4 linked regions of the Arabidopsis thaliana genome follow. The protein of the gene in region 1 interacts with the protein of each later gene in a pairwise test. Each region holds a gene or a part of one and is shown on either strand. Other genes may lie near its edges. The genes, in order: ABF4, CPK30, CDPK1 and DREB2A.

Region 1 (8,446 bases):
GATTCATGAAGGTGAAGAGTTCTTCTGATGGTACACTAACAAGGGATGTTAGACCATGTAAAACAAATGTGTGGTTTTGATTTTTCAGGTAATTCGTTTGGTTTTCGGAAATTCAGCTACAAGGAGATAAGGAAAGCAACTGAAGATTTCAACGCGGTGATTGGCCGTGGGGGCTTTGGGACTGTTTACAAAGCTGAGTTCAGTAATGGGTTGGTTGCAGCTGTAAAAAAGATGAACAAGAGCTCTGAACAAGCTGAAGATGAATTTTGCAGAGAGATAGAGCTTCTCGCCAGGCTGCATCACCGCCACCTAGTTGCTTTGAAAGGGTTTTGTAATAAGAAGAACGAGAGGTGAATGATTACGGTTGACCTTCATTTCGTTTCTCCCCATTTGTGTGGATTGCCCTTTGCTCATCTAACCTGAGAATTACAGGTTCCTTGTCTACGAGTATATGGAAAATGGGAGCCTGAAGGATCATCTACACTGTATGCTCATGATTTTCAGATTGCATTCCTCTGTTTTAGACTTGACTAAGAATCTTGAACGTTGTTATTCCTCTCTGCAGCCACGGAAAAATCTCCACTAAGTTGGGAATCAAGGATGAAAATCGCAATTGATGTGGCTAATGCTCTGGTAAATTTCCATAAAACTGATACTCTAGTCTATGGTTTATATTATTATTACTGTTCTTAGTTCTTAACTGGATATGCTTCCTTTCCTGCAGGAATACCTTCACTTCTACTGTGACCCTCCCCTCTGTCACAGAGACATTAAGTCAAGCAATATATTACTCGACGAGCACTTTGTTGCTAAGGTGCGTCTGCATCCTTTCACATCAACTGGTCACTGACTTATCAATTCGTTTTACCTCTTAAAGAATTGACCTGTGGGTGTGGGGTTATGTGGTGCAGCTTGCAGATTTTGGCCTTGCACATGCTTCTAGAGATGGCTCCATTTGTTTTGAACCTGTTAATACTGATATCCGCGGAACTCCAGGTCAGGATACTAAGGAATTAACTACTCTTGAAATATTGAGCAAAATCTAAAACCATGAAATCTGAATTTCAGGCTATGTAGATCCAGAGTACGTTGTAACACATGAACTAACAGAGAAAAGCGACGTGTACAGCTACGGAGTGGTGTTGCTAGAGATCATAACTGGGAAAAGAGCGGTTGATGAAGGTAGGAACCTGGTAGAACTGTCTCAGCCTTTGCTGGTATCAGAATCAAGACGCATAGATCTGGTGGATCCGAGAATCAAAGACTGCATAGATGGAGAACAGCTTGAAACAGTAGTGGCAGTTGTAAGATGGTGCACAGAGAAAGAAGGCGTGGCTAGGCCATCAATCAAGCAAGTTCTGAGGCTGTTGTACGAAAGCTGTGATCCGTTGCATCTCGGGCTTGCAATGGCAGTTGAAGAGAACAAAGGACGGTCACTGAGAGGTGACTCAGGGTTCCAAAGTGGAGACATCCGTGGCTTGGCTTCTTCCTCTAGTACTACTTCAAGGTCGCATTGTAGCCGGAGTTTTCTGCTTGAGACTGGCTCCCCTCACTCTCCACCAAATGGTCTCTCTTTTTGAGTGAGCAGAGACAAATTAGTCACATTTTTTCTAGAAATTTGTCACTTAGGATCATCCTAACTGTTTTCTAATTGCAGTTTTGAAAGATGACATATGTTTTCCAACCAGAGTCAAGAATGATTTCGTTGCCACTCTTAAGTAATAATGGCTAAACCCAAGTTAATGACACAAGAGAACCAAATCCGGAATACAAAGTCAGACATATATATAAACAACTATGTCTTTTAGAAACCCTAACAACCAGAAAGCACAATAAGTCAATAACAGAGGATAATCTAAACCTAAACTAACAAAGGTCAGGGCACAAAATGTCATTTATTCATAATGAAAACTCTCTCCTACTCTGTAACCTAGATCTTTCACTCAATTTCTCTTAATCTCCTGTACAGGTAGCACTATCCTATTACATTAATCCCAAGCTAGGAGTCTGGTTCATCCGTTCTTGTTGCTTCATCCTTCACCATGGTCCGGTTAATGTCCTTCTCAAGCATTGCCTTTTGCTGCCCCACGGTCGCTTCGACGTTTCTTTCAGCTGCTAATTTTGAAAAGAATACTAGTGAACAACACAATCAAAAAGGCTATTCAAAACGAAGCAAGACCACGAAATGTTCGAAAGCTATCTCAGGTTTGAGCTTCAGTTGGGGACATACTTGATAAGGACCAACATACACTATCAGAGCTACAACTTAAGTTTAGTCTTTTGCTGCTGATGTTGGTCCTAATCAAGTATGGTCAAGGGTTTCAGAATGAACTCAATGAAAAGAAAAGTTCTTAAACAATTACCTCATTCTTCTGCATTTCCACCATTTCAGCCTGCAATACAGGGGAAGCTAGGATCAGAGCCAAGTTCTAAAAGTCTGATAGGGGAAAACAGAAAACACACAGAGAGGTTGTAAACAGAAAGAAACCTGTTTTTTCTGCAGTTCTTGATTCGTTTTCTTGAGCTTTTCAATTTCGGCTTCCAGTTCCAATGTATAAGCCTGTAATTAGTGGATAGTTAAAAAACATGGAAGATAAAGCATCTTTCATAATACAAGAAGTGGTTCGGGATAGAAGATATCTTTGCTGGTTTTATGTTTCTGTTTAATGCAGTCTTGCAAAATATAAGACCATAATAGTCAAACCAAACAAAAGGGACTAGATAAGTTTAGTTAGATTTATATTCACCTGCTTTCGAGCTCTTGATCTAGCAGCTGATTCCCGATTCTTGATCATTCTCCTTTGCCTCCTCTCGATAACCTTCTCTAGACCTGTATTGCTTCTTCGTCCTCGATTAAGCACATACGGAACTGGTGATAAAGAATTATTTTCTGCGCTGCTTGTTCCTGGAGAAGTTGCTGCAACAGTGACCCCGGTTCCTCCGTAACTAGCTAATCCATTATTATTGTTGATAGAATTATTTGCAGCCCCAGCAAAACCCTTGTTGGTTATATTCACAGGCGCAGAAAATGCTACGTTTGCTTGTTTAGGAAAAATGGTTTGAGGCAGCCGCTGCTGTGGATGAGGCTGATTCAGCTGCTGCATCTGCTGTTGTTGCTGCTGAAGCAACTGCTGTTGTTGTTGTTGCTGCTGCATTGTTCCACCCATTTTGAGCCCTAAACCAGGTGGCTGATTCAAGATCATAGAATCATTAGTACCATTGAATGTTATGCTGTTTTGATTTGGCTGACCAAATCCAAAACCTAAGCCGCCAGCAGCAGTGCTGTTACCATAAAACCCATTGTTATTGTTTCCGTTGACCTGACCCATCTGTTGAACACAGTTATCTTCTCTTACAACCCCAGCACGGAACAGAAATTCTTCAAGTGTCATTTCCCCTAAAGTCTGTTGCCTTCCAGGAGGCACATTCGACTCACCACCGCCTCCGCTGCTACCTTCCATATTACCATCCTTGGTGATCAAACATTTCCACACCTCATCAACAGTCTTCTGACTAATTGTTCTAGGCAACGTCAACGAACCTTGCCTCTGGAGATTCCCACCTGGGGGTGGGATACCAGCACCAGGTTGCGCTACCGCTGTAGCAGCTGGCGCAGAAGTCATGGCCATGGCCTGAGCTTCCTCAGCAGTCCATATGCTCTTCAGGAGTTCATCCATGTTCATCGACCCGAAATCTTTTCCCGGTCCACCTAGTGTGTTCTGTAACTCATCAAAGGTAAGGGAGTAGACCGAGGACTGCCTAGCCAAGGGCATGACACTACCCGTTGGCTTCATCTGGTTACTACTCCCTTCCCCTCCAGGATGACCACCACCTCCTAAGTTGTTGAAATTGATGTGAGTTCCCATAATCCTTGTATACACTCCTTCTACTTCTTTTTCAATGAAAACAAAGCATCCAAGCCCTAAAACCCTTGTTCTAAAATCAAAGTAAAGCAGTTAGAGTGTATATTACATAATGCTAAGAATCCATGAAAAAGAGAACTTCCGAGGAAAATAAAAAGGAGTGAACTATGTGTCACTAATGCATGTTCACATCCATATAAGAGAAAGAATACTAAAGTGAAACTGGACAAACCACATAAATGCGTGCGAACAAATGTAAAAGCACAGTAAAGTCAATCAATAAAGGTCAGATCTTTGGATAATGTTTATAAAAAAACGTAATTTGATGACTTTTTTTGATGGAAAACGAATTCACACCAGATACAGAGTTTACTCATAAAACCAAAAACGAGAAAATCAGCAAAACCCAACAAGCATGAGAAGGATCTATTCCAGATTCCACAACCCATTTCTCTTAAAAAAAACCCGATCGAATCAAATAGACAAAACCCTAATAGCAACAAGAATCAAATCGATAAATTTATAACAAATATCTCGTAAAAATTCTCTCTTTAACTCTAATTTGATAACCAAAAGTTACTTCAGTTACAACATGTACATCATCATGATTCATAAACGAAACAGAGGAAAGACAACAAAAAAATTGGATGATCCGACAAAGACAGATCCAGAAGTCAGAAAACGGATAATAAAAGAGAAAGGAGCTCGAAAATATGTTTTACCAAATTAATTTCTTCAAAACAAGATTCGTGACTGCGAAAACTCCAGAGAAGCTACAGGGAGAGACGACAAGTGTGTTGCTGCCGCCTCGACACGAGCAGCCATTTTAAGGCCCTGAAACCTTTTTTTTTGTTCTTCAGATATTATTTTTTTGTGAATAATTATCTGTTAACAGTATTAATTTAAAAAGAAACGTGGACGAATGAGAAAAAAGAGTTTAATGTTTTAAGTGCTTGTAAAGACTTACATCCAATTAAGAATGCGACGTGGTAAAACATTGGCCGTTTGTTTCCGACAGTGAAGATTCGAGTGGTTGGAGATCGTGCTTGGAATTGTTTTCTCATTGGAGTTAAATCATAATAATGATTATTCTTTGTTTTTAGGTCAATTTTTTAAAAATATATTACTTCTTATGTTCTTTTAGTTTTCTTATTTTAGATGTATATCAAAAATTCAAATTGATCTTCAAATTGACATATGCCACAATTGTAATCTTCAACAATATTGTGATATATTATAAAATCTTTAATTTGTAAAAAAAAAGAAATCAAAATCTAGATTTGTCTCTTTCCAAAATGGTTGACGATAAGGATGATTCATTTTTCAACATCCAAACCAATTTCATACATAGATAAGACTAAATATAATTATATACATGTCCATATTAGCCAAGAAATACTACCTATATAAAAAAAAATCTTTATTGGTAACTTTTTTTTTTCAATTATGACATAGATCATAGATATTTGTTTGTCATTTTTACAGTTCAAAAGCCTTTTAATCATTTGATATCATCAGTATTGTTTAGACACTAAATAGATTGAATATATAACAAAAACTATAAACTAGATGTTATAAAAAAAAAGTAGGAAAAAAAGCAAATAAGCAAACATTGTAATAATACCAAATGAGGAATGAAACCAAATTTCTGTATTTGGAAGTAATGATCTTAGACTCCACGCGACAGTGTTCTTTACTCCTACCAAAAAAAAAGAAAAAACTATAAACTATGAATAAAATATGACCAAAACATGTAGTTAATTGGGTTGTGCTATTTTTATCATTATGTTATCACCCGAAATTTGAATATATGTTATGGTTGTGTGACTTTTATGTTAAAAGTGTTCCCTCATCAGATAGAAGAAGTGGTGGTGCTTGCTTTCTTTTTGGGAGCCCATTTTGGTTGCAAGCCAATAAGAATATCACACCGCTCTTCGAAACAAAACAATAAAGAACACAGTCGCGTGGAGTCTAAGATCATTACTTCCAAATACAGAAATATGTTTTCATTCCTCTTTTGGTATTATTGCAATGTTTGCTTATTTGCTTTTTGTTTTTCTATTTTATATTCAAAGAAATATCCACTTTTGCCACGTTAGGCCGACGTATAGAGTGAGCATAAAACCATAATAGATCCCATATATGACTATGAGTTTATGTAATCATCACTTATATGTATATTTATACACGTACACACGATTGTCATTTAGGTTTAATTTCAACCTTGATGCTACAGAGTTCGACCAAGATTCAAGGGACGACTATGGAGATGTAGTTGTATTTGCTAATTCATAATTAGGCTTTGTTTCCTTTTTATCAAAAAAAAACTAATCTAAAAAGACTCGAGTGATGTGAGAAGTAGAGTTCATCTCCATCAACGCTTGACCTCTTTTTACAAATCCATACAAATCACCAAGACTATAGTAAACTATAAATATCAATGGAGCAATATTTTTTTAGCAAAAAGTAAGATTCAAACATAAAATAGAGAATAGAAAAAATGTTTAATAATTGTCCTAATTAACTAATAGATTTGTAGTCATTCTATTTTTTTATGATTGAGATCTTAGTTTGTATTAATATTTCAGATCCCAAATGATCGCATGTGGTTGTGCTTGTATATATTCAATGATTGAAGGGTTGGTGAGGGCATTTGTGACTAGGGCCTCTAGCCACAAAATATAATCAAGAAAATGTGTTAAAAAAGGACGAATCGTTGAAGCATCAACATTTGTTTTGTTAAGATTATTTGTTGTTGTTTTTATCTATAATTATTTTTTCTTGTTACAGGGTATTCTACTAAAATGCAAAGAGATTACATGGCTATGACTTCAAGGGTCAGAGATGGAGAAAAGTAGTTTGAAAGAGTAGTGTAAACACACGATTTGCTAGTTTTAGAGAACATCGAAAACAAGATATTACGGTGAAGCTAGAGAAGAAAAAGTTCACAAGAAAAACCCTAGTTATGTCATGTGTGGTCCTCCACCACCACGTCTTCTACTACCACGGTTTCCCGGACATGAATCCATTGTTCTAGCTTGGACCTTTTGCGTTGGCTTTATTTGCCTTTTTCCTCTGATTCTTTGAGCTACATATCATTCAGATCCAAAGTCTGAAAGGATTTTGTTTGAAAGGACGACTTTGTTTATCTTTAGTTTCCATATTGATTATGTACTTTGAAATTTGAACGTTAGTTACATCACTATATTTTATATTATTCAATTAATACAATGTCATTTTTGTATTTTCAAGTTTTAATTAACTACTATTTATATCTATCGTTAGCTTTGCATTTTGATGTATTAGTTTTGTCTCATAATAGTGTGATATCAATTTGTCGATAAATTTTTAAAAATAAATGTTGTGATGAATAGTGTTGGCTTATTGCTATAACTAGAGTAATAATAGTCATCATCATTCTTTTTTTTTTAAAATATATGAAATCATTCTATTTTGGAGTTGTCATTAGAAAATTCTAAGAGGAGGCAAAAATTACATGTATATGCTCATCCATGACGATCTATACATTTCTCTTCCTTAGTTCCTTCTATAGAATTTAAGGATATAAGATTGTGAATAAGAACTCAAAATATAAAAGAATAACTCTCTTTTATTAACTTAGGAAAATACCTTAAAACCTAAGCTCTCAAACTCTCAATGCTTAAACACAATGAGTTATGCCACAACTTAGCATCTCCTTATATAAGAATCTCATAAACCAAATCCAAAACCTATTAGGACTATTATTTAGATAACTACCAAATAATCTTTAGATAACTCCTAATATAATTCTAGATAACTCCTAGAATTATTAATCCTAATCTCTTAATGACTTATAGCTTAAGTCATCTTCAAGCTTATTCCAACACCTTCTCCTTGTGATAAGTAAAATTCTCTCATTTAGGATTTTGTCTTAGAGATTTGAAGTGTTTAAATGTTTTAATCCGAGCCTAATGATGAAAGAGACATATATGTTAATGTATTTTTTTAGTTCATGTTTCAGTGAGTTTCCTAATGAAATGAAATAAAATAAGAACTAAAGGTAGAAAATCTGCCAATTTTTCCTCTTTCTCATCAATCAAAGTATCAAACGATAAAAACCCAAATCACAATTCTTAAAATCCATTCATTATTGATAAAAAATCGTCGCTTTGATAATGGGTGTTTTCTCCAATCTTCGAGGTCCTAAAATTGGATTGACCCATGAAGAATTGCCTGTAGTAGCCAATGGCTCTACTTCTTCTTCTTCGTCTCCTTCCTCTTTCAAGCGTAAAGTCTCGACCTTTTTGCCAATCTGCGTGGCTCTTGTCGTCATTATCGAGATCGGGTTCCTCTGTCGGCTCGATAACGCTTCTTTGGTCGATACGTTAACCCATTTTTTCACCAAGTCGTCGTCCGATTTGAAAGTTGGGTCAGGAATAGAGAAATGCCAGGAGTGGTTAGAGAGAGTGGATTCAGTTACTTATTCTAGAGATTTCACTAAAGATCCGATTTTTATCTCTGGTAGTAACAAGGTGTGTAGCAGAATCATTTGTCTATCATCAAATTATGTATATCTAATTTCTCTGTGTGATATTTTCTGA
Region 2 (8,120 bases), on another chromosome or scaffold:
TACGACCGATTAAGGATCTTAGCAGTGAGGGTTCAGACCATTCTAGGAGATTTTGCAGCGCAAGGAGAACGGATTCAAGCGTTGGTTAGCTGGAGAGATCCGAGAGCGACAAAGCTGTTCATAGCAATCTGTTTGGTAATCACAATAGTTCTGTATGCAGTTCCTGCGAAAATGGTGGCGGTGGCTCTAGGGTTTTATTATCTTCGGCATCCGATGTTCCGAGACACAATGCCTACGGCTAGTCTCAATTTTTTCCGGCGGTTGCCAAGCTTGTCCGATCGACTCATCTAAGGAGAGAAAGATGTCAAGATAGTAAATGTTAGGTGTTTTTGAGTATCCAACAGTTTCTTGGGCTGAGGAGGAAATAGAATAAAAAGATTCATTATGGGTTAAGAATTTTATCATATTATTATGATTCTTCATTTTATTATTCAGATTCTGTCGGAAACTATAATCAGATGGCATGAGCTTTGAGACCTGTAATATTTTGAAGGAAACGAGAGAGATTTCAGATTTGAGAGGTGAAAAAGGAAGCAAAACTTGTCAGTAAAGTTTTTTGACCACAGATTTGCTTTTGGTATCTCTGTAGTTTTCTCTGTAATCTAAAATGATTTACTAATTCCTCATTTAACTTATTTTGTTTACGCCTAAACTATTACATGTAAACATTGTCTGATTATATAAATTCTAAGTGAAAAACCGGAGATAAAGCGCTAACGAAAATGATTGGTTGAAATCACAAAGACATCATCTGACGTGGCAGTTTCTCTGTCTATCAGAGTTTCAGATAGTGTGCCAACGGCGAAACAAGACACGAAAGAATCTCTAAAGAAATCATTTTCATCGCTTCGCTTCGATTTTTCTTCAATGGCTGTCGTCGGCGCTCCAATATCGTCTCCGGCGGCTCAGCTGCAGACACAATTTCTCTCCAATCCCATTCTCCCCCGCTTTCGCCGGTCTTTCTCCACCGGAAAATCACCAGCAACTTTCTCCGTCGTAGCTATGGCTCCCCAGAAAAAGGTAACTAACTCTCTTAATCATCTCCTTTGTTTAAGTTCTGAGATCTTTTGCACTTTCATCAATCACTTCATAAAGTATAAATCTTTTTTGATTCTCAAGATAATCTTTAGAAACATGAATAAGCAGTACATTTTAGTAATGGAACAAAGACATTGAAGTCTCTGTATATAGTATTGTTGCAGAGTTTTATATATACTTTTTAATTTGTGTAATTGTGATCACTGAATCGGGTAACAAAAGGTGAACAAATATGATGCCAAGTGGAAGAAACAATGGTACGGAGCTGGATTGTTTTTCGAAGGGAGTGAGCAAATAAACGTTGATGTTTTCAAGAAGCTGGAGAAGCGAAAAGTGTTGAGCAACGTTGAGAAATCTGGCCTGCTGTCAAAAGCAGAGGGGTTGGGACTCACATTGTCATCTCTTGAGAAGCTTAAAGTCTTCTCCAAAGCAGAGGACCTTGGTCTTCTCAGTCTCCTTGAGAACTTAGCTGGAACATCGCCTGCGGTCTTAGCCTCGGCTGCATTACCAGCTCTCACGGCTGCTATTGTAGCCGTGGTGTTGATCCCGGATGACTCAACTACTCTAGTGGTTGCTCAGGCGGTTTTGGCCGGTGCTCTTGCGCTTACAGGGGTTGTTTTGTTGGTTGGTTCTGTTGTTTTGGATGGACTTCAAGAAGCTGACTGATTCTTTCTCTGTAAACCGAACATAAACCCATGTCTTGTCCAATTGATTTTTGTCAGTTGCTGATTTATAGCTGTATGGTTCAGTTGTTTATGGTTAGTCCAAGACATAAGCTGAGTGATAGAAAGAAGCTTTATAATAATTAAACAAATATTACATACACATTCATTCATTCTCCAGTGAAAAGCCTAACTACGCCCACAAATTACAAATTTCCAACTTCCCCAAAACCAAAAAAAAGAATCTCTAGAAACAAAGTGAAGTAAGCCAAAATCACATCTGAAAAAAGCCCAGAAAAAAACCCTTCATGAACGTGTAAGAAAAGCAGCCATCAGATTGCTTCTGTTTTGGTGATAAACAAGTGTAAAGATCAAACTGCAATAGATTGTCCAGTGAGTGCGTCGTGTAGATGCATTGACCCGTCTTTCATCAAGTTTAAGCTTAAGCTTTTAAACCTCTCTCTTGAGTATTGTCTTGATGCCTTTCTCCAATCAGTTCCAGCTTTCATCATCACCACAAACTCATCATAGTTTATTTTTCCGTCCTGCAAAATCAAACATTATGACTCCTCTTAAGTATTTAATAAACTTTCTATAGGAAGAGTCTTTATAGCGAGAAAGGAGCTGATGTATAGAGCTTTAGAAAAACCTTGTCAGTGTCGACTTCACGCATTATATCGATTATAACACTGTTGTCTGGTTCACCTAACTCGTCGGTTAAAGCTTCACGTAGTTCTTCTGATTCGATGTATCCACTTCCATCTTTGTCAAAGAACATAAAAGCTTGTCTGAAATGCTCATCATTCTCCATCTTCTGCAAGTGAATTATCACTGCTACAAACTCTCCATAGTCCAAGCATCCATTTCCATTAACATCCGCCTGCATCAAAATCATGAATGTAAGTACCAGAGAAGATAAACATCGTTTGATCAAGAAAAATCCTCATAAGGAAATGGTATTTGGTAAAACATTTACCACTTCCATTAACAATTTGATCTCTGGTTCACCCAGTTGTGAACCGACTTTCCGGAGTCCAGCTCTGAGTTCTAGATATGATATTTTACCGTCGTTGTCATCATCCATCAGCGTAAACATGTTTCTGATCACTTCAACTTCTTGAATAGACAAGTGTTCGGCGATAACCTGGAAGCATCAAAAGGGAGCAAGTAAGTTAAACCAATCAAAGCTCCAAACAAAAGTATAAACTCATCTGAAAAAAATGAGAGGCAACACTTACACGCAGAGCTTTCTTTTTCAATCTATTCATCATGGAGAATTGCTTCAACCTTGACCTAACAATATCCCCTAAAGGAACATTTGGAGCTTTCTTTGCATTCTGTATCCAAGGGTGATCTGCAAAGAAGGAAACAGAAACCGTTTTCACTTTAAATGCCATTTTCTCCATCTCAAATCCAACACAAGAAACAAGTAGCAAAGAAGATCAAAATTCACAAGTGACACAAGAACAGCATTATTACCAAGAACTTGCTGAGCAGTCAAACGCTTAGTTGAATCAGGTTCCAACATCTGCTTCACAAGGCTCTTTGCGCTCTCTGATATCTGCGACCAAGGATCTCTCTTAAAATCAAGAACTCCCCTCAAGATGGCAAGAGCCACACCTTGTTCAGTCTCTGCAATCAAAACCTTGAATCACTCAGTTACTCTCAATCAGCATATACAACTTCAAACAAGAATCAAATCTTTCTTTAACCTGCCCAAAACGGAGGAACACCACAAAGCAAGATGTAGAGGATAACTCCAGCACTCCACACATCAACCTCTGGTCCATAATTTCTCTTCAACACTTCTGGAGCCATATAATAAGGACTTCCAACAATCTCTGTAAACCTCTCTCCTGCAAAATGCATCAAAATCTCTCTTTTAAGTTAAATTCATAAGCAGATTCAAAGTAACACAATTGTCAACTCTTAACCAATGTGACCTGAAAGCAAAATGGAGATCAAAGATTCTAAATTTAGCAAAAAGATTCCATTTTTATGGAAATTACCAGGTTTAAAGAGAACAGATAAACCAAAATCAATAGCCTTAAGTGCAGAATTCTCCTTCTTGTTAGCAAACAAGAAATTCTCAGGCTTCAAATCTCTATGCATAACACCATTGACATGACACATCCTCACAACCTCCGCGATCGTTCTCGCGACGGTAGCCGCCGCACGCTCTGTATAATGTCCTCTGGCAACAATCCGATCAAAAAGCTCACCTCCTTCACAAAGCTCCATCACAAGATGCACGTTCTCGTTATCCTCATAAGTCGCTTTAAGTTTCACAACGTTTGGGTGTTCCGGTAAAGTTGACATGATCGTGACTTCACGACGGACGTCTTCCACATCGACGGCGGTTCGGAGCTTTCTCTTGGAGATTGATTTGCAAGCTAAAGCTTCACGAGTCTCTCTATCTGTACAAAGATACGTGATTCCGAATTCGCCGCGACCGAGTTCTCGTCCTAAGATGTACTTGTCGCTGATCTGAGATTGATGGCTCATAGGAATCACACGTAACGGTGCGTGAGTTCTTAAACCATCGGGATCGTCGTATGGGTTTCGTTGCCGTCCCCGTGGAGGTTTCTTCTTCTGGTTTGGTTTTGAGTTGTCTGGGTCAAACTTGACGCAGGCGATACAATTACCCATGGCTGAGTTTTTGAAACTCAGCAGAAGAATAATGAAGAAAGTAGTTTAAAGAAGTTTTCGTTGGTGCAAAATCCGGCGACGGCGTAGAGTTTTCCGGCGAACCGGTGAGTTGCAGAGAAGAGGAAACACGGGTTCAGCTGAAGAAAGTTTCGACCTTTTCGTAAAATTGATCAAAATGATTATAATTTTTTTTATTTATATCAAAAAGAAAATAAGTTAAAGCGACTTGATCTATCTCCCCTATATACTTAAACAAATTAATTACATAGAAACTGTAATTTTGAGCCATTTTCTAACCTATAATTTATAAAAAATTGTAAAATATTTTCAGTGATTAACAGTTAATTAATTGTATTATTATTACAGAACAAGTTTTAGTCTCTGGTGTTGTAACTAAAAGAGTAAGTAATTAAAATAACTATTAAAAAAATTATAGCCTTAGATCTGTTGATAGGTGGTAAAATGAAGGGTAGAGATGTAGCTTACGTGGAAGGGGAGAGTTTGATGAAGTTGTTGACCGTAGAAGTGGATACGGTGACATTGTCAAAAAGTGTGACGTTGGTTTCATTTGATTTGGTATCACCAAAATATTTTGTTTTGTTTTCAATTCAGTAATTATTATTGTCTTCTTGTCTTATATTATATGTCTATAGCATTACCTAAACTACCTGAATCTACAATTTTTTTTTTTGCTATTTGGTTTCTTAAATACAATATTTAAAAACTGGTTTCTTACCAATATACATACATATGTATATTTACAGATTTATCGAGTGGAAAATGTCTTCATTAATTTTTCGTATGAAAATAAATAACTTTGGGTTGTCAAATTCAAGATAAAAACTGGCATTGGATTTTCTTAACAAAAAAAAACCCTAGTAGTTTATGTGTGATTTGAAAGTTTCTACCAAAAGATTTGGTGAAGATAATTTCAAAAGCTATCAAATTTGTATCTAAGATATGAGATATTATTAGGTGTAGACTTTATCAATGTAAAGGAGTCAGCTTACTATCGGACTTTGTTTTGTGTAAAAAAATAGTAATCAAAACTAATATATGAAGATTCCATTGATCAAAGTCAACAAAAATGCAAACAAATGCGATCGTCTTGTTGTTTTCTCTCATATATTTCTCATTTTTATATTCGAAACTAATTGACAAGTGTGTCGCCATGTCGTGATCTTATTCGTTTGCTTTCTATAAATCGGGTTTACATTCACATCCTATCAACAACTAATTGGAAGTTCGAAACCGAAACTCTTTTTGATCATCATGTACATCGTCTAAACGATAAAATTTGTGCATATGAATATAAATATTTTTGTTTTATCACTTTATGTCACTCATCAAATTGATATCAGTAGGTAAAAAAGAAGGTCTTTTATTTATTTCCCGGTTATACTTTCAACCAACAATTAGTGCAATTGGCAAAAAGAGTGTGAAACGTTGAAAGTCATGCAAAAAATAAAAAAAGCGAGTCTTTGTAAATCAATACATTAGAGAAAACTAGCTATATAAGCCCCAAGTTTTAAAACTTGGTTATATTTTACTCGAACTTTGTTATGTTTATGCATATAGTAATATGTTATAAATTATTAAGACATAAAATTCCATAAAAAAAGATAAATCAATTACAAATAGATTAGTATGGATGAGATTGATTTTCACACCTAAAAAAAAAAGAGAGGAAATGATGGACCATGTTTTATCTTGTGCAACTTTTTAGCTGGCAAAAAGGATTTAAAAAGAAACTAACAATACGAAAAATTATTATTCGGAAAAAGGGACTTTCGTCGATGAAGGAAAAAACATGAGATTGTGTATGAAATGATGGGCTCAACTAGAATGTTTGAGATTGCATGTGTATGTGGCGTTGTCATGCCAACTATTCGATTTATTCAAGTCCCATCACTTTTCTTGCATAAAACTGTTATCTACAGCCTAAAACTATATATACTTTATGGGATAATTAATATTTTTATATGAATGAATCTTAAATTCAAAAAAAAAGAAAAGAAATGAATGAATCCATCATCCATGCCTTAGGCTTTGAATAGTGATATACCGGCGGGATGGTTTGTTTACCATCCATATCTCTTTTAAAACTTTTCAAGTAATAAGGAAACTCAATAAGTTTCTAGATTAGTCATGTTTCAGTCTAACTTTTAGTGTTATGAAGAACAAGAAAATGACAGCAAGTGATTTGGCATGGATCAAGTGACACAGGTCCGTTTTATTTACATTTTGGAATCTGAAATTCATTAATTTCAATGATTGTAGTATGTCTCTGACTAAGTTTGTTTTCCATATGTTGCACACTTATAGTAAATGATGAGGTTTGGGAGTGAATACTTTAGGGTTAGTTTAAGATTCTATGGGGTTTCAGATTAAGCTGTAGTATGAGTTTGTCGAAGCTACTAGGATCATATAACGAGCAAATGTCTTTTATACAGCAGCTATTTGGGCTTGAAAAACAAAGTTTGAAATGGGCTCATAAGATAACTGATAGGAAAGCCCAATATATTTTTCTTAGCTTAAAGAGAATACACTTGCAAAGGAGAACATAAATGCACAAATACAATGGCATAAAAGTATCTTTTTCAAAATATTATTTAAAACTTTGTTGTGCTTTCACATTTTTAGATTTTTTCAGATTTTTTATATTTCTTTTGGATTAAAAGTTTATAAAATCTATCTTAAAGAAAAGGAGCCGTTCTAAAATCTAAATTAAAGAGGCCACGGAAATTTAGTTCGGATCGAATCATACCCACAAAATCTCTCTCTAAACTCTAAAATAGTAAAGGAAATGAAAGTCACAAAACAGTCATATTCAAAGTAGTACAGAGAAACTTGAGGAGGACAGAACCGAAACGTTTGCTCAAAAGGGGAACAAAGTAATAAAAGACGAAAAGTTCAAAAAAAGGTTTTTACAGCTAAATCCAAATATTCTTTTTATTCCCAAATTCAATCACTAACTTTAAAAATAGTAATTCGACACCACATTGTTAACCGGGAAAAGCGATTTAAATAAGAAATTCTGAAATTCTTCAATATAAAACACTGCTAATATTATATTTAAAGAATATACTGAAAATTATGAAGGTATCGTAATCGAATCGATCAGATACAATTTAGAGTTGCCTAATTCATAAAAGGAAAAAACATTTATGGGTGATGTTATTTCATAAATACAAAGATTTAGGGGTATAGTTGAAAAAAGGTAAGTATGTTAAAGGAAAACATTTATTGAAAAGAAAAAAAGAAGAGAGTAAAAGCAAAAAAAAAAAAGTCGTGACCTTTGGAGCTAGTAGTACCCAATTTGCTTGGAGAGCAAAACAAACTTTGAAGCTTCCATATTTGACGGCCACAGAGGGAGAAGGCAATTTCGCCTTCTGTCTCTCCTTTTCTTTCTCATTTCCTCCTGAAGATTTCTTTTTTCTGTTGTCTGGGGAAAACGAAGCAGACGAAGGAAGTCAAACACCACCGTTTTTAAGGTGACTTCGTAGTCTTGTGATCTCGCTTCTGTTCTTTACTTTTCCGATTGAAATTTTGCTTCTTTCTTAGCAATAAATGTCATTGATTTCTGGGTTTCTCCTCTTTTCTCTTCTGTTATTCTGCTTTTCGTTGATATCGAGCTTGGAACTCGGCTGTTATCAGTTTTTGTGAGAGTTAATTTTGAGATTGAACGTATTCATAATGTTTGTTTGACTGTATGTTCTAATTGTTGACTTTAATTTGGTCAATATTCTTAAGATTTGAATGTGAATCAGA
Region 3 (8,808 bases), on another chromosome or scaffold:
ACTCTTTTTACTCAAATCTATATTCTAATCCAACACTTTTGTTTTGGTATAATCTCCAAATAGCTTTTTTGGTCTCATAATGAGATCCTTCTCACTTCCCACTAATATATATATACACACACACATATACTAACACATTACACACACTTAGAGAAAGCAGAGCAGAGCATAGAGAAAAACATAACAATGGAGGTTGAGAAGACAGAGAAGAACATTGCAGAGGATGATGAGTCTAAGATCATCTACAGAGGATGGAAAGTCATGCCCTTCATCATTGGTATTTATTCATCCATATTCTTTCTTATATATATATATATATATTTTTTTTTTTTGATAAATACTTTTGTTTGCTTACAAGTATAAAGTCATCATGTTTTTTTCATCAGTTTCTTGTTCGTTTCAAAATTATGATTTTTGTTTACTTACACTCATAATCTTGAAACGAACAAAAAACTGATGGAAAAACATGAGGACTTTATACTTGTAAATAAATAAAAATATTTATTAGAAATAAATAAACAAAAATATAAGAATATTTATTAATTTCGTGCTCTTTTAGTATGTTTTTATTATTATTTATGAAACATTTGATTCATTGACAAAAAAAACATTTGATTCATAAAATTAAAACATAGGACTTTTTTTATGGATCTGTTTCTTTCATGTTTTTTATTTTTATTTATTATAACATTTTTGGTCTTGAAACGAACAAGAAACTGATAGAGAAAACAGAGGATTTTATGAACAGAGTAACTTAATGCTCTGTTTCTTAATTTGGTAGGAAATGAGACATTTGAAAAATTGGGGATTGTTGGAAGTTCATCGAATCTGGTTATATACTTAACGACGGTTTTCAACATGAAGAGCATCACGGCTGCGAAAGTCGTCAACATCTACGGTGGCACAAGCAACTTTGGCACCATCGTCGCTGCTTTCCTCTGTGACTCCTACTTTGGCCGCTACAAGACCCTATCTTTCGCCATGATCGCTTGCTTTCTCGTAAATTCTAAAACCTATTCATCACAATTTTCAGTTTGAAAAAAAACTAGCTGATTATGTCTGAAAGTTTCAATCGTTTGTTGTGTTTGATGCAAAGGGTTCGGTGGCAATGGATCTAACGGCTGTGATTCATCCCCTGCATCCAGCTCAATGCGCTAAGGAAATAGGAAGCGTGTGCAATGGGCCATCCATCGGACAAATCATGTTTCTCGCCGGAGCAATGGTTTTGCTGGTGATCGGAGCCGGTGGGATTAGGCCATGCAATCTTCCATTTGGTGCTGATCAGTTCGATCCGAAGACAAAAGAAGGGAAACGAGGGATTGAGAGTTTCTTCAATTGGTATTTCTTCACCTTCACGTTTGCTCAGATGGTGTCGTTAACCCTCATCGTCTATGTTCAGTCAAACGTGAGCTGGAGCATTGGTTTAGCCATCCCAGCTATTCTAATGCTACTTGGTTGCATCATATTCTTCGCTGGTTCTAAGCTCTATGTCAAGGTTAAAGCTAGTGGCAGTCCCATTCACAGCATAACTCGTGTCATTGTTGTCGCGATCAAGAAGAGGCGGTTAAAGCCCGTTGGGCCTAACGAGCTTTACAACTACATCGCCAGTGATTTCAAGAACTCGAAATTGGGCCATACAGAGCAGTTCAGGTACTAATAACCTCACTACTTCTCTTAGTTTCTTGTGGAACAACTTAGAAACATTTTAGGGTTTTCTTAATTTGCAGGTTTCTTGACAAATCGGCAATCCAAACACAAGACGACAAGCTGAACAAAGATGGGTCGCCGGTGGATGCATGGAAACTCTGCAGTATGCAACAAGTGGAGGAAGTTAAATGCGTGATCCGGGTGCTTCCGGTTTGGCTCTCGGCCGCCTTATTCTACCTAGCTTACATTCAACAAACAACCTACACAATCTTTCAGTCTCTTCAATCCGATAGACGCCTTGGTCCAGGAAGTTTCCAGATCCCGGCCGGTTCTTATACCGTCTTCCTAATGCTTGGAATGACGATATTCATACCTATCTATGACCGCGTCCTTGTACCTTTCCTTAGAAAGTATACAGGCAGAGACGGCGGTATCACACAACTGCAGAGAGTTGGAGCAGGACTGTTTCTATGCATCACAAGTATGATGGTGTCTGCAATTGTAGAACAATACAGAAGAAAGGTAGCTCTCACAAAACCGACGCTAGGGTTGGCCCCAAGAAAAGGCGCAATCTCTTCGATGTCCGGTATGTGGTTGATTCCTCAGCTAGTGCTAATGGGTATCGCGGACGCCCTCGCTGGAGTTGGACAAATGGAGTTTTACTACAAACAGTTTCCAGAGAACATGCGAAGTTTTGCTGGTTCTCTGTATTATTGTGGAATCGGATTGGCGAGTTACCTCAGCACCTTTTTGTTATCGGCGGTACACGATACCACAGAGGGATTTTCAGGAGGAAGTTGGCTTCCGGAAGATTTAAACAAGGGAAGATTGGAGTATTTCTACTTCTTGGTTGCTGGTATGATGACTCTAAACTTGGCCTATTTCTTGTTGGTCTCACATTGGTACCGTTACAAAGATGTTGTGGCCAAGGACAAGGACATGGACAAGACTTCTGCTGAGTTTGATAAGGTGTCAGTGTAATAAAGATCTTTCCTTTGACTCTTTGGTTTAGGGGCTTTGAGACAATAAAAATACAACCTTTGAACAAAACATTACATACAAAATACAATGTAAAATGTTTATATATGTAAAGAACCATAGCTTCCGTAAAATTCCCATCCCTCAAAGAACAAGCCCGGAAAATTCCCAATTTATGAAATGGGGAAAAAACGGAGCATTGCTCTGTTTTTGGTGATAACGAATAAATTTAAACAGGAACAGTTTGTCCAGTGAGAGCGTCATGGAGATGCAATGACCCATCTTTCATCAAGTTAATGCTTAAGCTTTTGAACCTCTCTCTTGAATATTGTCTCGATGCCTTTCTCCAGTCAGTTCCAGCTTTCATCATCGTCACAAACTCATCATAGTTTATACGTCCGTCCTGTAAAAAGCAAACAAGCCCAACAATCCGACTCAGAAGCAGAGGGATATATCTTTTCTCTTGACAAGCTTTATTGTTAGGCCTTAAAGGAGGATTTTTTTGGATATTTGAAAGAACCTTGTCAGTGTCAACTTCACGCATGATGTCGCTTAGAACACTGGCGTCTGGCTCGCCTAACTCATCCGCTAAAGCTTCCCGTAGCTCATCAAGTTCAATGTATGTACTTCCATCTTTGTCGAAAAACATAAAAGCTAGTTTGAAAAGTTCATCATTCTCTATCTTCTGCAAGTGAATTATCACAGCTACAAACTCTCCATAATCCAGAAACCCATTTCCATCGACATCCGCCTGCGCGTCAAAGCCATACAGATTTCAGCTATGTTTATCAGAGAAGAACACTGAATTGGTCTTTAATCAGATAAGGGCAATGCTTAAATTACCACTTCCATCAACATTTTGATCTCTGGTTCACCAAGTTGTGAACCGACCTTCTGAAGCCCAGCTTTGAGTTCCGGGTAAGTTATTTTACCATCCTTGTCATCATCCATCAGTGAGAACATGTTCTTTATCACTTCAACCTCTTGAATAGACAAGTGCTCCGCAATTACCTGGAAGCATTAACAGGGATGATAATGATCAAAACCAAATATAGACACACACAACAGACTCTCTACAAACTTCAGCAGAAAAGTAAAAGGCAAAAAAAAAACACTTACACGAAGAACTTTCTTTTTGAATCTGTTCATCATAGAGAACTGCTTCAACCTAGATCTGACTATATCTCCTAAAGGAACATTGGGAGCTTTCTTTGCATTCTGTATCCATGGGTGAGCTGAAAGGTGAGAAAAAGAAAATCATTAGTAATAGAGTGGATTAAGGTAACTACGACCATTAAAGAAAACAGAAACACAAGAACTTCACCTAACACTTGCTGAGCAGTTAACCGCTTAGTCGGATCAGGATCCAACATCTGCTTCACAAGGCTCTTGGCACTCTCTGATATCTGAGGCCAAGGGTCTCTCTTAAAATCAAGAACTCCCCGCAAGATCGCAAGAGCAACACCTTGTTCAGTCTCTGTCAATAGAAACCACAATCTTATCGGTTTATCTAATCAACATAGGTGAACAATTACACAGCTGCTAAAATAATTAAAAGAAGAAGCTAACCAGCCCAAAACGGAGGAACACCACAGAGCAAGATATAGATAATAACTCCGGCACTCCACACATCAACCCCTGGTCCATAATCTCTCTTCAACACTTCTGGAGCCATATAATACGGACTTCCTACAATCTCTGTAAACTTATCTCCTACAATAAAGAAAACGTTATTTACCCAATCTCAGATATCTACACAAACTTCCATAAACATGAAGATATGGCAGGATAGTCTAAAAATAGAACCATCCACTGAGTTAAGAAACACTAAAAATTGAATCTTTACCAGGTTTGAAGAACACAGACAAGCCAAAATCAATAGCCTTTAGTGGAGAATTCTCCTTTTTATTAGCAAACAAGAAATTCTCAGGTTTCAAATCTCGATGCATAACTCCATTAGAGTGACACATCATCACAACCTCAGCAATCGTTCTCGCAACAGCTGCAGCAGCACGCTCCGTGTAATGTCCTCTAGCAACAATCCGATCAAAAAGCTCACCTCCTTCACAAAGCTCCATAACCAGATGCACGTTCTCGTTATCCTCATAACTAGCCTTAAGCTTAACTACGTTTGGATGCTCAGGTAAAGTAGACATAATCGCTACCTCACGACGAACGTCTTCGATATCGACAGCTGTTCGAAGCTTTCGCTTTGAAATCGATTTGCAAGCTAAAGCTTCGTGGGTTTCACGATCAGTACAGAGGTAAGTGATTCCGAATTCGCCTCGACCTAATTCACGACCTAAGATGTATTTGTCGCTGATCTGAGTTTGATTGCTCATAGGGATTACATCTTTGAGAACACGTATTGGAGCTGGGGATCTGGTGAAATCTCCGGCGAATGGGTTTAATTTCCGATCTCGATTGGGTTTTTTCGGCTTTGAAGATGGTTTTGATTCTTTTGAGTCTGGCCTTACACAGGCGTTACAGTTACCCATGGCTGAGTTAAGAAACTCAGCAAACTCAGAGAAAGGAGATCAAGGAAGAAGAAGAAGAAGGATTATAGAAGAAAAAAGCTTATCTCTTTAGTTCATATGGACGCCGGAAGTGACGGTGGCGGTGATTTTCCGGCGAATTGGAGAGTTGGGTTGGGAGGGGGAGAGAAAACGCGGGTTCAGGTGAGGAAAAGTCGGACCTTTCGAAATTTCGGATTTTGTTTGATTCAATTAAAAAAAAGGGAGTCTTTGATTTTTGTGTATAGTAATATACAGTATTAGTTTATGATGCATTTAATAACTTGAGAGATTTTTCTAACCATTGCACCATCTTCTTAGAAACTTGTAATTTTTTTTCAATTTTTTTTTTCTTCTAGATGGATTTTTTGGTCCAAGCTTATGACTAATAGAATTCACTTCTTTATTTTTTGGTTGAACTCAGTGGATTAACTCTTGCATTTTTCAGTGGTTTTATAAACAAACAAACAAAATCATTTGTATTTTCAGTTATTATTATTATAAGTTTATATTGATCATATTATAGTTCTATCAAGATGTACAAATGATAACCGACAACAATGATTTTAGAAAATTCAAACTCTTAGATTTAACAGCATCAGAAAATTTAAAGGTTGGATTTCACCAAATTAAAACCTAATTAAAAGAGCATTTATTGAAAAGAAATATAGGCAGACTTCAAAACATTACGGCCAAACGTATAATTAACAGTTTAGCGAGGAGGACAATGTTAGCCGTTGGTGTGAATTAATGGTAATGAAATGAAGGGATAAGATTGAAGTTCGAGGAAGAGAGTTTTGTTGAAGTTGTTGACCAGCGTGGTGGATACGGTGAGACTCTGAGATTGTAAGACAAAACAATAAGTGCGACGTTGATCCCAAACTATTTTTTAAAAATTATTTTCTTCTCTAGAGATATACAATGTACGTAAAATAGAAGAAAAATCATAATAATATTTTATTTATAGTTTTGAATATATTTTTTTTGGAGCAATTTTTTGTTTCTAATTTGCATTATTTTGAAGTCTAGTTCTTTTCTGTTTTTGTATGTGTACAATCATAATCTAGATGCTAGGATATGAAGAAATTCCCGACAGAAAAAAAGAAAGGATAGGAAAATATTGTGTGTATAGACTTCCTCAATTATGAGCAATACTTATTGTGTTGTAGAAAATAAAGCAAAGTTATATAGGTAAATAAAATTCGAAAAGAAGAAGCAAAGTACGAAATATTCCATTAATGGAAGTCAACAACAAATTTAAAAACACTAAAAATCAATGAAAACTATGTTTCTTTGGCTTAGAAAGTAGAAACCGCAAGTCGTCCTATCCTGACTTCGCTACAAGTTCAATTGTCAATGTCATACTCGTTTTCTTTATCTTGGTTTTACATTACATTACCTTGGGGATTTGGATACCATTCAATCCATATATAAGAAAATGTGTGTTGCGCGTCTATATTCCAAAAGACCTAATTAATATATAGTAGTAAGAATTTTCACAAAGGATTAGAGATTGAAACTTTATTTTGTTCAATGAAAATGGTCTTTGATGATGGATGTACTACCATGAATAAAATTTTAGACTTTAATTTTAACAAAATGAAATGTGTGATTTAATGTCAACCACACAGAGCTTAAGTGCTTTTGTTTCAAGGGACATGTGGTGGATTAAGTATGCATATATCATTGCATACGATGAAATATTTTAAAGCAAACTACATAGTTTTTATATGGATAATTTTATATATGTATTTTTTTCAATGATTCGATCAAATTAATATTTGGTAGGTCAGAAAAAAGCGGTTTCAATTTATTGCCCAACTAGAGACCTTCCACCCTCCTATCTATGAACCTACTAAAAACACCAACAACTTATTCGTGGAAAACTTTATCGGTTTTTTGTTCATTCAAGTTTCAAAATGGATATTTATACAACATAATCTCGAATTTAGATTATTTTAAATCCTCTGATTAATCTTCCGAAGAAGAAAGAAACGATGGACATGCTTTTGTCGTCGGCAACTTTAAAGCTGGCATAACTTAAAATTTAAAACAGTAAAAGTGACAATTATATTTGGAAAGAGTGTGTCTTTTTGCTGAAGAGAATGATTATGTTTGGGAATTGTGATGATGTGTTCTATTCAAATGCTGTGGCTGCATGTGTTCTGTATGTATCATGCATGTTGTTACGCCAACTTTTCCATCTATGTATAAGTTCAATCACTTTTCATAAATCATACATACAAATTATATTACAGCTCCAAAAGTTCAATTATACTCTAAACAAAAGAGATGTAATCCTTAATTATTGCCAGAAGTCGAATTTATTAGTATTTTAGTTTCAGCTGTAACAGTCTTTATAAGTTACTCTAATATTTTTCTAAATTGTTTTTGATTTTGTTTTGTGTATGAGACCTCTCATCATGCATTTTCAGATTGCAGTACATAATCTAATGCATGTGTGCATCTGTGAATTTTCTCAAGTAAGTGGGCTTTTAACTTTGTAAACATAACGGGCTAATGGGCCTAACTAGATTGAAAGATGTATTGAACTAAGCCTAGTATGCAGAGGAGACTTTGCACCTTGCTTGGAGAAGAGGATTAGCAAACTCTACAAGACAATTATTCTTCTTTGATTATAGAGTTTTTTTAATCATATAATGCTTATTCCGCTAAAAGTTCTCGTTTCTCAACTTACCACCAAAATCTGAATAGTCAAAATACAACTGAAAAAGAAACTTTCTCTGACCACTAGAGTAACAGGACAGTCACGGGCAAGACATGAAAGCAACGCCACGTGTAATAGCGAAGACTTGCGGAACATTTTTGTTGAAGACTTGCGAAACTTGGGGAGGGCAAGGCTTCTACGTTGCAATTAAGAACTAACCAAAGTGGAAAATAACAAAAAGAAGCTCAATTTCTTCTTCTTTTTAGTCAAAGCCATATATTCTTCTATAACTCCATAAAACACATAATCCTTTTTAAAACCACAAAAAATACTTCGAATTTATCATGTATCAAACAAAATAGAAATATTTACTGGCTAATTGAGAGAAAGAAGTTATGAAAGGGGAATAAAAAAAACTATTAAGAATGGGGAGAATTCTTGTAAGAATAAGACTATTAGGTGTTATTTGGAAACTAATTAAAGATGAGGGGTATATTTGAAAGTTTAGGTAAGAGAAATGAAGTGAAAATATAAAAGGAGAGCAAAAAAAAAAGTTGAGACCTTGAATTGGCAGCAGCCTCCGTGTGTGTGACCAAATATGCTTGGAGGAGAGTAGAAGAACGCTTCTTCTCTCAATTTCGACGACAACGTGAGGAAGAAGACGAACTCGTCTCTCTCTCTATTTATTTTCAATATCACCTGGAGAATTCTGCAGGGACATCAATAATCATAACCTAACAAGTTAACGCCACCGTTTTTCAGGTGACTTTTGTGTTCTATTGATCCTGCTTAAAATCTCACCTTTGTTACTAATCTTAATCAGTGCACGACGATTTCTGTTTTTCGTTTTTTGCGTTTCCATTACGATGGGAATAATGCCGAGATGGGTTTCTGGGTTTAACGCGTTTCTCGAGACTTTAGCTCAACTTTGTAAATTAAAAAACTTTTGATGACCGGTAGTGAGATTCGAATGTGATCAAGTAGATTCTAATGTGAATCAGA
Region 4 (7,076 bases), on another chromosome or scaffold:
ATTTATTTTTTTCCACAATAATTTAGAGAGACTGTCATGAGAGCTCCATTTTTCTCCCGTTGGAGATGCTCTAAGATACTTAATAGGAACCATATGGGGCTAACTAATTCAAGGCCCAAAATAAAAAGAAAAAAACAACTATAAATGCCCTCTTCAGACCTAAATTAAATCTGTTAAAAGGGTTATCGAGTCTCGCTCTTGTCGAACAAATTTTAGCCATGTTCTCATCCACCATGGTACTCTACTCTTATGGCTTTTCTGATTCACTCTGGTTTCTTATCTTTGTTTCTCAATTGATGGTTTCTTCACAAGTTTGTAAGAAAAGTACTTGCAAGTTAGTTAGCAGTGCAAGTGTTTCTGATTTGATCTCCTGTACTTTTTAGGGAGCGAAACGGAATAACATTCCAAAACTGAGGTAAATTGAGAATTTGGTATGTGTAAGGTGATGCATGTTTTCAGATGTCACGTTGATAGTATTATTATTATTGCAGTGACGTTGGGAGGATTAAGGTTACGGGATATGACACTGGTCTTCCGCTTGATGATCTCTACACGGCGTTGGCAGAACATTTCTCTTCATGTGGAGAGATCTGGGAGATTTATATTCCCTTAAAATTTGATGAGACTAATACGATTCTCAACAGGTTTTGGTGGCTTCTTCCTCCTCCATTTCTTTCCAACTCATCAGCTCAAGTTAACGTGGGAGGATGGAATGTCTCTGTTGAGGCTTATCCGTATCCGGCACACGCAAACGAGTAAACACTGATTTCTTAAAAAAATAAGATTTGTTGATAATAATAATGTTTATCATCTCCGGCAATATCCTATTACTGCAGTAAGGTTATTGTAAGAGTTGAAGGATATGATACTTCGCTTAGGAAGAGTCAAATCTCGAGGGCTTTGGTTAAACTTTTCTCTCCATATGGAAATATCATACGCCTCCATTTTGTCAAAGAGAGGTTTGAGGCTTCTTTCTCCCATGTTACCCAACTTTCAATTTATTTAAAATTATTACTCTTTAACGACTAGAGACTTGTGTATTTTGTTGATCATTTTTCAGCTCAGTTAGAGCTGTTGTTCACGGAAAAGACGTAGCTGATACCGTGACTCAACTTAATGGGAGCTACATGCGAGGACGCAAATTAGCTGTATTGGGTGACTGCCAAACCGGAAATACCTATACGCCTCATTCGCCGCCGCGTCAATTTCAGTAAACCTATTCCTCCTCTCCAAGATCCTTCTGCCATGGATGCAGCCATTCCAAAAAGCAGGTAAATTAACTTTTCTATCCTTCTCCAGTCACTTTTGTATCCTATAACCACAATTCAAATATTACTGTAAAATTTAGCTTTTCTTATTGAAATGGTTTTAACTAAATTCCTTCATATATAAGATCCTCCGGCATACTCTTTTCAAAACAATGAATAGAAGTCAGCTTGAGGTTTCCTTTGGCTACTTGACTTCAGTCCATTCTTCTGCCTTAAGTACTTTGTTCTTTTTGGGGTAATCAAAAGTAGTCATGTCATTTGGGATATATCAGTTAGTACATTTGTTATTGGTATTCGATATTATTAGCTCACAAGTAAATGGTTCTTTCAAATTCTTTCCCATCTTATAAATTTCTATGCTTTTTTCTTTTGATATTATTGCAGGAGTGAAAGCTCCATGTCCCCATCTGAATCTGCTAAGAAGAATGAGAAGATAAGTGAGGAAGCTACAGTGGAGAGTAAAGCCTTTTCTATTAGTGTTGAGAAGCAAACGCCTGACCTAGATGGCCTCATTGTTGAAGAGTTATGCATGGGAAACCCCAACGGCAAGAAAGCTGAGCCTGGCAAAAGGGTATGAGCATTTAGTCCTAAACTGTTGTAGTTTGTGTGCAAATATTTGTTGGAGGTCAGTCTATTGTCTCTGAGTGCAGGTAAGTGTCCATTATACTGGAAAGCTTCAGGGGAATGGGAAGATTTTCGATTCCACCGTTGGAAAATCACGTTATAAGTTTCGTCTAGGTTGGTATTATAACTTGATGCGAAAGTAAGAGCTTTATTAATGTGTGAGTGGTACTTGGATACTTATGTGCTTGCTGTTACACATACAGATGCTGGAAAAGTCATTAAGGGATTGGATGTTGGCCTTAATGGTAACCTAGCTAGTTTCTTACTGGTTTTTCTTCACTAAATATGGTCAAATGGTGTGTTGTTTTGATCTCTTTTTGTAAATTTCTAAAGGAATGCTTGTTGGTGGCAAAAGAAAGCTTACAATTCCTCCAGAAATGGGGTAAAGCCTTTGCAAATCTTTTTTTATTTTTCCATAATGTGATGTTTTATTTTAAGCTTTTTTTAATGAGAGATGATAAAATTGTCTGGCTCACAGGTATGGTGCGGAAGGTGCTGGTAGCATTCCCCCTGACTCTTGGCTGGTCTTTGATGTCGAGCTGCTTAATGTTAAATAAAGCTGCCCTCTAATCCCTAGAGAACTTCCTAAGACTCAATCCAATGATGAGTTTTTTTGTGGAGATCGTATAGTTTTTCCTCTTACGATTTCAAATATTGTGAGACACACTAAGGCCCATAAAGCTTCACAAGTGTGTATTATTCATTCCTGTTGTTACAAAACATAAAACATATCTAAAGAACAACTTAAGAGAAGCAGACTAACAAACTATAGTTGTCTTCTCTATTGTCATATCACTGTTTCGATATATACAGTTCACCTTTATAACAAGAAAAAACGTGTTCTGTAGTTCTCTATATCACTAAAACTCGGATAGAGAATCAACAGTCGTTGTGGGATTAAGGCAAATATCAAATCCAAAAAGCTTCATATTGTTTTGTTTAGTTCTCCAGATCCAAGTAACTCAAGTCGTCGAAGAATCCATTACCATCCTTTCCCTCGAGCTGAAACGGAGGTATTCCGTAGTTGAGGCTTTGTAGCGGATCAAAACCACTTTGTTGACTCTCGGGCCTGTATGAACCGTTGGCAACACTGTTCCCCGGGTACCGGTCCTGATTTAAGCCTGCAAACACATCGTCGCCATTTAGGTCACGTAGAAGCTCATCGACATCAAACATGTCTGAAGAATCCAAGTGACTCTGATCCACATCATTGGGCCAACCATAGTCTGCAACAGATAGCGAATCCTGCTGTTGTTGCTGACAGGTTTCTACAATCCCTTGCTCCTTCTGTTTCTCTTTCTCTTTCAGAATATCACTCCAATAGTTATGTTCAAACTCGCTCAGCCAATGCTTATCCGCTTTAACACCTCTCTTCATCTCTTCCGCACCATTCTCCAGACAATACATCGGCTCCACTCCACCGGAGAAGGGTTTAGATTCACAATCTGGATCCTCTGTTTTCACATGAACACAACCAGGAGTCTCAACAGTACACACCTCAGACTGACTTGAGGTACTCGTAACCTCAGACGCATCAGACCGAGGGAAATTAAGACGAGCCAAAGGACCATACATAGCTTTAGCAGCCTCATCATAAGCAGAAGCAGCTTCTTGAGCAGTAGGGAAAGTACCAAGCCAAAGCCTGCTACCTCGATTAGGCTCTCTGATCTCAGCAACCCATTTACCCCAAATCCTTTGCCTAACTCCTCTGAAACTACATCGGCTATTCTCTGGTCCTCCTTTACCTTTCATACAACCCTTCTTCGACCCTTTCGCAGGTACTTTCCTCTTCTTGGTAGAAACTTCTTCTACGGTCTCGTTATACTCTTTCCATCTCTTTAATCTCTCAGCCACAGTAGTACCGTCACCTCTACTTCTAGATTTCCTTTTCCTCGATGTATCAATTTGTGTTCTGTTTCTATCTCCACTCTGATCATAAACTGCCATCTCCTTCCCAGAAACAACACAATCTACAATACAACAACACTTCAATATCAGAACACAAGCTGAAACATAAGGCAAGAGAACTTAAACTTGGTTCAAAATCAGATCGATTTACTTATTTGTTATCAAATTAGGAACACCTAAAATTTCCCAATTTCACAGCTATACCTAAAAGGAAATAATCGAAAACCTAAAGACGAAGATAAACCCTAGAATCACCAATTGACGAGACCTAATCAGAGAAATTAATTGAAAATTTGTAAGAAATCAGAAATCAACGTACCTATAGGGGACGAAATTTGAAAATCAAAGTCTCTTCCTTCGAGTTGATAAATCGCTTTCGTGTTTAGTCTTCTTGCTCGTATCTTTTCTTCTTCTTCTTGTGTGTAGCTTTTTCGAGTTTTCCTCTTCTTTTTATCAGACAGCTTTAGCAGAAATCAAAATATCTAAGGAAGACAAAGTATCTACGGAGTATTTATAGCCTTCTCTAGATTTTTCTAACATTATTTTATTTTTCTGTTTGAGAGCAAGGTTACGTGTCAGTTTTTGATTCGAACATAAAGGCTTAGACGACTTTTCCGTTCGACGAGTGTCCTCCCGAATCTTCTCGAAACACGCTGTTGATACGGAAAAGTAAAGTTTAAACCTTTTTAAAATTGATTTATGGATAAGATCATAAAACTACTTCATTATTTAAATATTATGAAATTTTAAAATATCTTCATTTTTTTTTTATTAACCCTGACAACACAACACTGTCTCATCTGCTCTTTCTCGATTTTTCTTGGTTTATTGCCAGTTTGCCACTGCATCACACTTACTAGATGTGTAATTGGATGATGATGTTTATTGCCTGTTTTTCTAGTTTTTACAAACGTGCACATTATTCAATTTTGTTTTGATGAGATACTTATCGTTTATATAGATATTTTTAAAAAGATCACGGTTAATATTGTAAAATTAAAGGTTTCCGGTGTACGTACGACATAGAGCGAATTCATAAATGTGTCAGCCAGAAATGTCTTAAACATGAAGTATTAGTTTAAAGTTTAAGCATTAAGTATTAGCTAGAGACGTGTCAAATGGTGAAGCTCAAACTTGGGTGGCTTAGCTTCGAGCAGAGGTGATAGGGTCCATTACCTTATAAAATTTGGGAATCGCAAGTTGTAGCAAAGCAGCAGTCATTTATAGCCTTTGCATGTGCCTCATGTGTCCTTTGCTAACCAAAGCCACTTCATCCACTACGTGTCTCTAACGGCATCGCTAACGTAAGCTCACGCAATTGCCTACGTACTTCAACCTCATGGGCCTTAGTTACTTAACATCCATTATCAAACCCATTGCCTACGTGATACAATCCCATGTGCCTCAGTTAATTAACATCCATTATCAAACCCTTAAAGCCCGTTAATCTAAATTAGCCCATTGGATGGGTGTCGTCCATTTTATTTCTACCGTCGGTGTTGCTACTATCTCGCTATCTCAAGCACGATCGGGTGAGCATCTTCTAGTCTAGTCGATTGAGCCTACAAGTTTCTATCTTCTGGATCTATATGAAATTTCAGTTTGTTTGTTTTTTTTTTCGCTGAAGAGAAATTTCAGTTTTTATTGGTCTAAATAAGGCATGAATTTGGAAATCTGTATCTACGAGTTGGTTTCTTCGCTGTAATGCTTGTTTGTTTTTGGTTTAGTGAACAACATTTGGATGATAAATTATTTGTGCGGAAAAAGCTGCAAGATGATGCCATGATGGCAACACTAATTTTGTTGCTGACTGTAGACTCTCTTTTCTTCGACGACCGTGAGAAGAGCTCTGTAAGTTTGGCTTCTTTCTTTCCATATTAGTATGAATAGGTTATTCGCGTGGCTATGAATCATTCAGCATTGTCTAAGGCCTAGGATCGATAGGGAGGAACGCATTCATTACAATGATTTAGGTTATCGATTACAAAACCATTATTGGAAAACGAGATGTAAGTAAAATGTTGACTTGGCTTGGCCAAACCACGTTAGAATTGTGTTAAGAAAAAACGAGCACATAGTGCTCACTAAACTTGGCTCTGTTAACATCCCAAGGGTCGTTGACCTTATGAAAAAAATGTTATCTTGGTTACAGTTCATTTTTAAAATAACATAAATATTTGATCGAGTCGTAGATGACTGGATGCCAAGATTGGTGGTCAACCCGAATGATCGTGCACACACCTCAGTTAATAAACTAAAACATTAGGAAAGGAATTTGTATATTAATCTCTCTGGTAGGAATTTGAGAATCTATGAGAGATGGGAGCCTGCTTCTCTGTGGCAATATCCTGTGACCAGGCTGTTAATAACCTTACAAGCTGCCTTAGCAGGAACCAAAATCGCTTCCGCAACCTCGTAGATCATGTAGCGGCTCTAAAGAAAACTGTACGACAGTTGGAGGCAAGACGAGATGATTTGTTGAAAAGGATTAAGGTACAAGAAGATAGAGGTCTAAACCTATTGGATGAAGTCCAACAATGGCTTTCTGAGGTCGAAAGTAGGGTATGTGAAGCCCATGATATCCTCTCGCAAAGCGATGAAGAAATAGATAATTTATGTTGTGGCCAATATTGTTCTAAGAGATGTAAATATAGCTACGACTATAGTAAAAGTGTAATCAACAAGTTGCAAGATGTTGAGAATCTTCTATCTAAAGGCGTTTTTGATGAAGTTGCTCAAAAAGGTCCTATACCAAAGGTGGAGGAAAGGCTTTTCCACCAGGAGATAGTTGGTCAAGAGGCAATTGTTGAATCAACATGGAATAGTATGATGGAAGTGGGAGTTGGGCTTTTGGGTATATATGGTATGGGGGGAGTAGGCAAGACCACCCTCCTCTCTCAAATCAACAACAAGTTCCGCACAGTAAGCAACGATTTTGACATTGCAATATGGGTTGTAGTGTCTAAAAACCCAACTGTTAAGAGGATTCAAGAAGACATTGGAAAAAGACTAGATCTCTACAACGAGGGATGGGAACAAAAAACAGAAAATGAGATAGCATCAACCATAAAGAGGTCTTTAGAGAATAAGAAGTATATGCTATTGTTGGATGATATGTGGACGAAGGTGGATTTAGCAAACATTGGAATTCCGGTTCCTAAAAGAAATGGAAGTAAAATAGCATTCACAAGTCGTTCTAATGAAGTTTGCGGGAAAATGGGGGTAGATAAGGAGATAGAGGTAACATGTTTGATGTGGGATGATGCCTGGGATTTG

What was found.
Region 2: the proteins of ABF4 (region 1) and CPK30 interact in a two-hybrid assay, tested with the Arabidopsis thaliana proteins (one study listed by BioGRID).
Region 3: the proteins of ABF4 (region 1) and CDPK1 interact in a two-hybrid assay, tested with the Arabidopsis thaliana proteins (one study listed by BioGRID).
Region 4: the proteins of ABF4 (region 1) and DREB2A interact in a two-hybrid assay, tested with the Arabidopsis thaliana proteins (one study listed by BioGRID).

Annotation. Positions count from the first base shown.
Region 1 is NC_003074.8:6,683,376-6,691,821, reverse strand, and holds ABF4 (ABRE binding factor 4), read right to left. Parts: upstream 4,781-8,446; 5' UTR 4,586-4,780; exon of another isoform or gene 3,937-4,585; 5' UTR 3,867-3,936; coding exon 2,748-3,866; intron 2,660-2,747; coding exon of another isoform or gene 2,615-2,659; intron 2,561-2,614; coding exon 2,489-2,560; intron 2,394-2,488; coding exon 2,364-2,393; coding exon of another isoform or gene 2,352-2,363; exon of another isoform or gene 2,116-2,351; coding exon 2,038-2,115; 3' UTR 1,699-2,037; downstream 1-1,698. Other genes in the region: AT3G19300 (Protein kinase superfamily protein), read left to right, coding at 1-11, 89-350, 433-485, 566-633, 725-814, 912-996, 1,069-1,580; FUT11 (fucosyltransferase 11), read left to right, coding at 8,021-8,377. UniProt on the Arabidopsis thaliana protein: Functions as a transcriptional activator in the ABA-inducible expression of LTI65/RD29B (AC Q04980). Binds specifically to the ABA-responsive element (ABRE) of the LTI65/RD29B (AC Q04980) gene promoter.
Region 2 is NC_003070.9:28,078,128-28,086,247, forward strand, and holds CPK30 (calcium-dependent protein kinase 30), read right to left. Parts: upstream 4,545-8,120; 5' UTR 4,350-4,544; coding exon 3,710-4,349; intron 3,557-3,709; coding exon 3,413-3,556; intron 3,333-3,412; coding exon 3,180-3,332; intron 3,055-3,179; coding exon 2,939-3,054; intron 2,845-2,938; coding exon 2,677-2,844; intron 2,581-2,676; coding exon 2,350-2,580; intron 2,246-2,349; coding exon 2,072-2,245; 3' UTR 1,819-2,071; downstream 1-1,818. Other genes in the region: QKY (C2 calcium/lipid-binding plant phosphoribosyltransferase family protein), read left to right, coding at 1-291; AT1G74730 (transmembrane protein, putative (DUF1118)), read left to right, coding at 868-1,020, 1,261-1,704.
Region 3 is NC_003070.9:6,520,614-6,529,421, forward strand, and holds CDPK1 (calcium-dependent protein kinase 1), read right to left. Parts: upstream 5,463-8,808; 5' UTR 5,124-5,462; coding exon 4,472-5,123; intron 4,339-4,471; coding exon 4,195-4,338; intron 4,103-4,194; coding exon 3,950-4,102; intron 3,861-3,949; coding exon 3,745-3,860; intron 3,637-3,744; coding exon 3,469-3,636; intron 3,377-3,468; coding exon 3,146-3,376; intron 3,029-3,145; coding exon 2,855-3,028; 3' UTR 2,629-2,854; downstream 1-2,628. Other genes in the region: NRT1.9 (Major facilitator superfamily protein), read left to right, coding at 187-277, 782-999, 1,097-1,650, 1,728-2,628. UniProt on the Arabidopsis thaliana protein: May play a role in signal transduction pathways that involve calcium as a second messenger. May be a positive regulator controlling stress signal transduction.
Region 4 is NC_003076.8:1,599,413-1,606,488, reverse strand, and holds DREB2A (DRE-binding protein 2A), read right to left. Parts: upstream 4,285-7,076; 5' UTR 4,120-4,284; intron 3,863-4,119; 5' UTR 3,840-3,862; coding exon 2,832-3,839; 3' UTR 2,450-2,831; downstream 1-2,449. Other genes in the region: AT5G05430 (RNA-binding protein), read left to right, coding at 219-236, 384-415, 492-755, 837-959, 1,061-1,214; AT5G05420 (FKBP-like peptidyl-prolyl cis-trans isomerase family protein), read left to right, coding at 1,666-1,839, 1,919-2,006, 2,096-2,137, 2,226-2,274, 2,371-2,449; AT5G05400 (LRR and NB-ARC domains-containing disease resistance protein), read left to right, coding at 6,120-7,076. UniProt on the Arabidopsis thaliana protein: Transcriptional activator that binds specifically to the DNA sequence 5'-[AG]CCGAC-3'. Binding to the C-repeat/DRE element mediates high salinity- and dehydration-inducible transcription.